Linked DNA regions of Xenopus tropicalis. The protein of the gene in region 1 purifies or fractionates together with the protein of each later gene. This does not show direct contact. Links are inferred from orthologs where the notes say so. Each region holds a gene or a part of one and is shown in the gene's direction. Other genes may lie near its edges.

Evidence for each region. Proteins that work in one complex are often made in the same cells at the same time.
Region 2: the proteins of ppp2ca (region 1) and cct8 purify together in Homo sapiens (affinity purification with mass spectrometry; 4 studies listed by BioGRID and IntAct, with this or other methods). This does not show direct contact. The link is inferred for Xenopus tropicalis from reciprocal best matches to the Homo sapiens genes PPP2CA and CCT8.

Annotation. Positions count from the first base shown.
Region 1 is NC_030679.2:26,547,342-26,550,997, forward strand, and holds part of ppp2ca (serine/threonine-protein phosphatase 2A catalytic subunit alpha isoform), read left to right. Parts: intron 1-1,700; coding exon 1,701-1,910; intron 1,911-3,287; coding exon 3,288-3,461; intron 3,462-3,656. UniProt on the Homo sapiens protein: Catalytic subunit of protein phosphatase 2A (PP2A), a serine/threonine phosphatase involved in the regulation of a wide variety of enzymes, signal transduction pathways, and cellular events.
Region 2 is NC_030678.2:16,664,371-16,668,126, forward strand, and holds the start of cct8 (T-complex protein 1 subunit theta), read left to right. Parts: upstream 1-1,164; 5' UTR 1,165-1,299; coding exon 1,300-1,359; intron 1,360-3,722; coding exon 3,723-3,756. UniProt on the Homo sapiens protein: Component of the chaperonin-containing T-complex (TRiC), a molecular chaperone complex that assists the folding of actin, tubulin and other proteins upon ATP hydrolysis.

The DNA of each region.
Region 1 (3,656 bases):
AGAGTGTGTATAATTTAGTATTTAATGGTGCTAGTAATTTTGCTTGCATAAGATTCCAGCCTTCTCAGACTGGCAGCAGCTATAAATAAACTGACAAGTCACCTCCAAGTTAACTGTTTATATATTTTATAATTTGTACAGTTTGCAGTTGGGTTTTGTTTTGAACTGTTTTGTAGCTTTCTAGTTTGGAACCAGACTGGAAGGGAAATATGAAAGAGATCACAATAGCAAACCTTTAATGCAAACAGCAGATGTAAAAGGAACAGTATAATCACTAAGGGGTGCTCCCAATGAGTATAATTGCCTACTTGATTGGTGCTCCTGTTCACTGAAATTTGCAAAGGCCCAGGGTTCATTATATCGCCATCTTCTTCTGTCTCCCAGGGGTACTTCTTTGCCAAATTTATAAAGCAGCAACGTATTCAACAGTGCTGTACAATAAATGGGTGTATGCATTAAACATACAAAGTAATATACAAAAGCAAACAAATAGGCAATGCAAGAAAGAGAGAGGGCCATGTTTAAAAGAGCTTATTTTCTAAAAAATACCCTTGTGTGGGATCAGTTTTGAAATAAAAATAAAAAATGAATAATAGAGGACCTAAAAAGAAAAACAAGCAATAACATTAAGACTGGACTGGCTAATAATTAATGAACACCAATATGAAGATGATCAGAATAAGTCAATCACTCACAATGTAATGCACAGTATAAGTTGGTTACAGAGAATGGCACTAGAGCCTTGCGTGACATTAGCCTAAAATGAGAATTCCACTTGCCTTAATATATACCAGGCAGCATATAAAGATATTAGGTAAATTACTTAGTCCCGTGTGACAAATTCCTAAATGTAAAAAATCCACTTTGGCTTTTGATAGTAAACTGGCATTCTAGTTGATACTTGATCCTTTGGGGTTCAGGTTGAATATCCATTAGCCTCAGTAATGAGATTTTGGGGTCATTAACTGAAACACTGGGCAATTTGCATCTGGGTAGTAGCCCATGGGAACCCATCAGTGCTAATCACTGCTTACAGTGGGTTACTGTTCAGTTGACAGTGCCCCCAGATATTTTCAAGTTCCCTACAGTATAGGACTAAAACTGTCCCTGCCTTAAAATTTCTGTGTTTAGCTCTTTGACCCTTTGTGGAGAAACCAACATTTTACAACTGATTTACATTAAATACCAACCAATTTTTAGAACTTTTTTTTTTCTCTTCCCCTTTAAACTTTGCAGGAAACTTATCAGTCTGCTATAATTTTTTCCACTTCTGTCACAAAATATGAGATATGGGAAAATCAAACATTGAATATATGAACACATAACTGTATACAGAAAGTCTTCTGAAAGGCTCCCATAGACTCCATTTTAATGAATTAAAAAACAGTACCTTACTGTAGGCGCAACAATCCTATTGGGTTTATTTAATGTTTAAATTATTTCTTGGTAGACTAAGCTATGCTGATCCAAATTACTGAAATATCCCTTGTCCAGAAAACCCCAGGTCCCAAGGATTCTGGATAACTGGTCCCATACCTCTACCAAAAGCACAAAACAAGTGGAGATTTCAAACCCAACTCTGTCTAAAGTAGTCGAATTGGCAGCTTAAATCTTCACATGTAAGGGCATATTAAGGTCTCGATTTAATATCACAAATGACTCGTTTACAGCAGTTAACAGCAAATGTGTTTATTTTACAGGCAAAAGAAATCTTAACAAAAGAATCAAATGTCCAGGAAGTTCGGTGCCCAGTCACAGTATGTGGAGATGTACACGGACAATTTCACGATCTTATGGAACTGTTCAGAATTGGAGGCAAATCACCAGATACAAATTATTTGTTTATGGGAGACTATGTTGACAGAGGATATTACTCTGTTGAAACTGTAACGCTGCTTGTTGCACTTAAGGTAAGATAATTCATTTATATTAATGGTGCTCCACTGGCAATCAATGAAACAATACAATATTATAAGGTATTCTTATAATAAAATGCCAAAATATGCCACAGTGCTGTACAATAAATGTGTATACATACATACAGATTACATACAAAAAACAACCAGTAATCTATGCAACAAGTTGATAGGGCAATGCTTAGTAGAGCTTGAGGATATGTGTTTTTTTTCTGTCCTGTATGTATATTAATGTTTTTTTTATACCTACTACACCAGATAAATCAGTTGACAGTAGCCATTCACGTACAGTAGAAAAGACGAAATATAGAGCGCTATCAGTGTATCAATAAAATAAAACTGTTCTAAAGAGTCCCCTAACAAGAACTTGTAGCAGAAAAAGCACAAGCAATAAAAAATGCTAATATAATATATATAGAAGGCCATCGTATGTTGAAGGGAAAAAAATGATACATATGAATACAATTCAAATATTATCCAAAAAGCTTTTAAAGTCTCCTAATGTATAAGCATGTTATTGTAACACCAATAAACATTAAAAAAAAGTGGGCAGCCTATATGATGTGCAGATAGATAAATGAAAAATATGTATTTCATTATGATGCTGTAGTGCTATAAATAATCCAGTCTGTTCTATTTAAAAAGCCATAAATATTTCTTCTAGTTGTTATTAAATATTCATTTGTACCGTAAAGCCAGAAGGCTCATTTGTAGAATGGAGGGGGTTTAGAAAAATATTTTTTTGTAGTTTTTTGCTGTCAAAAGCAGCATTTTTCTGCGACTTGCTGCACTGTTGTTTCTGTCTCTTAAAACAATGTACAGAAAGTAAACCTTGCATGCTGCTTCTGTTAATGAACTAGCTTTGCTACATTGTTTCAAAAGCCAAAACCAGCAGGGCAGAGAATAGTAAGATCGCTTTCTGTAACAATTACATTTACAACTTTTACACCATAGACATCTTGCATTTAATTTGTATTTTCAAAGTTTTTCGAATTACATTTTCTGTCTGTTGGTTTTCAATGGTACATTCTCTACTTAGAGAAGGGTTCTTAATGGGATCCTGCAGGGTTTAGTAATGGGTCCACTGTTAAATTTGTTCATTTAACAAATTTGTTCGTTAATGAATTTGAGGGAGGGCGCTGTACGCAATGTATGCATTATGCAAGTTAGTTTCATCCGGGATGTAGCATTATTTCAGGGGGATATGAACAACTGAATCTTATCTGCCACTTAGCTGGATAGATTGCCAATGTTGATATGAGGTTATGAATTTAGGGTTTATAAATAACTTGTACTGGGGGTACTTGTGTATAATAAATGATAGAAGTCTCTGTTTCCATTTTATTGCAAAAACCTATTCATACCTTTCAGGTTCGCTATCGGGAACGCATCACAATCCTCCGAGGAAATCATGAAAGTAGACAAATCACACAAGTATATGGATTTTATGATGAATGCTTAAGGAAATATGGAAATGCAAATGTCTGGAAGTATTTCACTGACCTTTTTGACTACCTCCCCCTGACTGCACTGGTAGATGGTCAGGTATGTGTATAATGTGTATATTAAGTAAACACTTTTATTGCAGAGCTCCACATTAAAAGAGGGTGACTTCCCAGTGTATGTATAAATGTGTCAATAAATAGGACTTGACATGAACATATTTTGTCTGTTGTGTGCAGTGCACACCAATGGCATTTGAAATAAGGATTCTCTTAAAGGAAAACAATACCCCCAAAC
Region 2 (3,756 bases), on another chromosome or scaffold:
ACCCTGTGCCCCACCTCTCACAACTCTGCCCATTCCCACACCTTGTGTCTCAACCCTTTCTCCTTGTAGATTGTAAGCTCTTTTGGGCAGGGCTCCCTTCACCTCTTGTATCGGTTATCAGGCCCGGATTTGTGGCGAGGCCACAAAGGCCTGGGCCTAGGGTGGCAGAAACTTAGGGGCGCCATGCCACCCCGCCGCACAAAAATTCTGACATTTTGCTCCCATACGGAGCGCTGGGGACTTCTCCCCAGCGCTCCTTATGGGAGTTTAAATGTCTGCGCATGCGCGCTTGCGTCTGGGGGGGGAGGTGGTTTTGTTCACGCATGCGCAGGGGGGAATAGGGATGGCCAAGGGGTGCCTGGATTTGGTGATTGCTTTATATGTTACTCTGTATGCCCAATGTATGTAACCCACTTATTGTACAGCGCTGCGGGATATGTTGGCGCTTTATAAATAAATGTTAATAATAATAATAGTCAATATTAACTGCCCCCGTGGCATTATCTGCAGCCGTCACATGACTGGATTTTGGCTGAAGCGTAAGGATCTGGTTTGGAGCTCCCTAATTTAGATTTTATTGCAGTGGATCATATCTTTTGCACTGCAGAGTATTGTGCAACTAGACTGCGCTAGCATGTAAAGCTAATGGCAGGGCACAGGTACAAGCCTGTCCCTTATGTTTCCCTATGAATAACATTGGCATGTAGTAGCAGTCCTGTGCCAGCCTGGGTCTGCCTAAGCTAATAACAGAAGCACCCATTATCCTCAGGGGCCGACTTGTGGAAGCGGCCCTAGCTGTGGGGGATGATGGGAGTTGTAGTTCACTTCAAGCCAGAGATTGAGGGTTCCTGCAACCACGATTTAGGGACGCCCACCCTGCTGTACGGCTATTGGAGCTATCTAGTACACAATACCACGGCCTAAAACGTCTAACCCTGCCCTCAGGGGGTCCCAGTAACTCTGTGGGCTCCAGACAGAAAGCAGCTCCTTATAAAGGAACACCACAGCTCACACGCCGGGCCTCTCATTGTGCTTCCCTGCCCTTACAGCCCGCCCCTATCCCAAAGCCCGCCCCCTAGCTGTCACTCACACAGGGCAGCCAGCCGCTCCGGATAACATCGATTCCCTCCGCGCCTGGCGCCTCAGAGAAGGGTTGATTCTATCGGCCAATCGTCTGAGAGCGCCTTTCCCGCAGGGAGTTGTGGGAAGCCGCTGCCCATTTCCCCCGTCTCTTTCTCTGAGTGCCGGTGATAGCGCGTTTGGTCGCTCCCACTCTCCGGCTCACCCACAGGTACCATCATGGCGCTGCACGTCCCCAAGGCCCCGGGCTTTGCCCAGATGCTGAAGGAAGGAGCCAAGGTAAGGCCGGGCGGGGGGGGAGGCCGGAGTGGCGGGGCATGGGCGGCACATGGAAGCTTCCAGAAGCCATGGGGATAGCGGGGCATGTGCTTGGGGCTGGGATCCCTCCGCTTTATCTCTGCTGCTCTTCAACTACAGCTCCCAGCATCCTCTAGGAGCCCGAGGCTGTAGGGGAATTGTTAAATTAAAGTTATTTAGCTTTAAAGGGCAAGTAACACTAAAAGAAATATTTTATTAATATAAATTTCAAATACTTATTTACATAATTATTTAGTATTCTCTTCCTAAAGGTGTGTAGAAACAGTTTAACCCTTGCTTGTCTCTACTAAACATATTGTATTCCAGTTAGCCTCTCTCTGACATTCCAGGGGCCCCATAGTGTTCCTGTAAGGGCCCAGGCCTGTGTTTCTGTCTCTTTGATTTATTTGTGGCCATTAAAGGCCAAGCTGTACCATTATTAGATTATTAGATTGCTGGCAGTGATACTTATGGTCTGTATCCGGGATATTCCCTATAGGGGAGCCGTTGGTGCCGTTCCTACAGTAAGTGGAGTAATAGGGGGAAATCCCATTAGAAATAATATATTATTTAGTGACTGGTGGCAAATAAAAAGTGCAGAATGCCACGCCCTGTGCGACAGCCATAGTGGGTCCCCTCTGTGCGGGGGGGGGGGGGTTATGAGCACTAGCATCAGTACCAGTTGAGGCTTCTGCTTTGTGCAAATTGGCTTTTATATGTATGTATATATACATATATATATATATATATATATATATATCTGATAGGGACCTTAGATTGTAAGCTCACTGGGGCAGGGGCTGATGGGAATGTGATAGGGACCTTAGATTGTAAGATCACTGGGGCAGGGACTGATGGGAATGTGATAGGGACCTTAGATTGTAAGCTCACTGGGGCAGGGACTGATGGGAATGTGATAGGGACCTTAGATTGTAAGCTCACTGGGGCAGGGGCTGATGGGAATGTGATAGGGACCTTAGACTGTAAGCTCACTGGGGCAGGGACTGATGGGAATGTGATAGGGACCTTAGACTGTAAGCTCACTGGGGCAGGGACTGATGGGAATGTGATAGGGACCTTAGATGGTAAGCTCACTGGGGCAGGGACTGATGGGAATGTGATAGGGGCCTTAGATGGTAAGCTCACTGGGGCAGGGACTGATGGGAATGTGATAGGGACCTTAGATTGTAAGCTCACTGGGGCAGGGACTGATGGGAATGTGATAGGGACCTTAGATTGTAAGCTCACTGGGGCAGGGGCTGATGGGAATGTGATAGGGACCTTAGATTGTAAGCTCACTGGGGCAGGGGCTGATGGGAATGTGATAGGGACCTTAGATTGTAAGCTCACTGGGACAGGGGCTGATGGGAATGTGATAGGGACCTTAGATTGTAAGCTCACTGGGGCAGGGACTGATGGGAATGTGATAGGGACCTTAGATTGTAAGCTCACTGGGACAGGGACTGATGGGAATGTGATAGGGACCTTAGATTGTAAGATCACTGGGGCAGGGACTGATTGGAAAGATATATATATATCTCTCTTTGGCTTGTAGACAGGCACTCATATCGCAGAAAGAGTAGCGATGCCTGGGTGCAGTCCCAACAGATTAAGGAATAGTAGCAAGTGAAGATGTCCCGCACTCACAGGTCTTAGATTAAAGAGCAAGGCAAGCAGATTAAAATCCTTTATTGTGCACTTATACAGACCCCAGACAGAGTAGGACGCTAAATCAAAACCAGCAAAATATGTACCGTTTGTTGTAAAATCGCTTTTATGCATCCTCACTCACTCTGCTGGTACGCGCCGCCATCTTTAATTCCCCCTGCTTCTGGCTTCACGACGAGTGTCAAAATGCGCATGCTCCAGCATCGCATCCACCCACTGACCCCGTGATTATGACCCGTGACCCTTCATGCTGTGTGCAGGAGCGCATACTGCGCATGCTTCGTTTCAGACACTGTCCAGGACAGCGATGCTTGGGAGGAGGCTGGGAGAGCAGTGCCATACAAAGAAGTGGAGGTACATGGTTGATTTTAAAGTAGATATTTCCTTACAGGGGACTTAAATTAGAACATTGCAGTGTTAGAATGCACAGGATGTAAACTAAGTTTTGCTAAGTTGTGCAATGGTAATCGACTTTACTTGCTCTTTAAATAAAAGGCGTGGATTGAATAAACTCCTTTTATTTAACCTAAGACCTGTGAGTGCGGGACATCTTCACTTTCTACTATATATATATATCTCTGTACAGCGCATTGGCATATGTTGGCGCTATATAAATAAATAAATATTTGTTGGTGGCTATACTAAGTGAGCTGCATGCTTTCTTATTTCTCTCGCAGCACTATTCTGGATTGGAAGAAGCAGTGTTCCGGA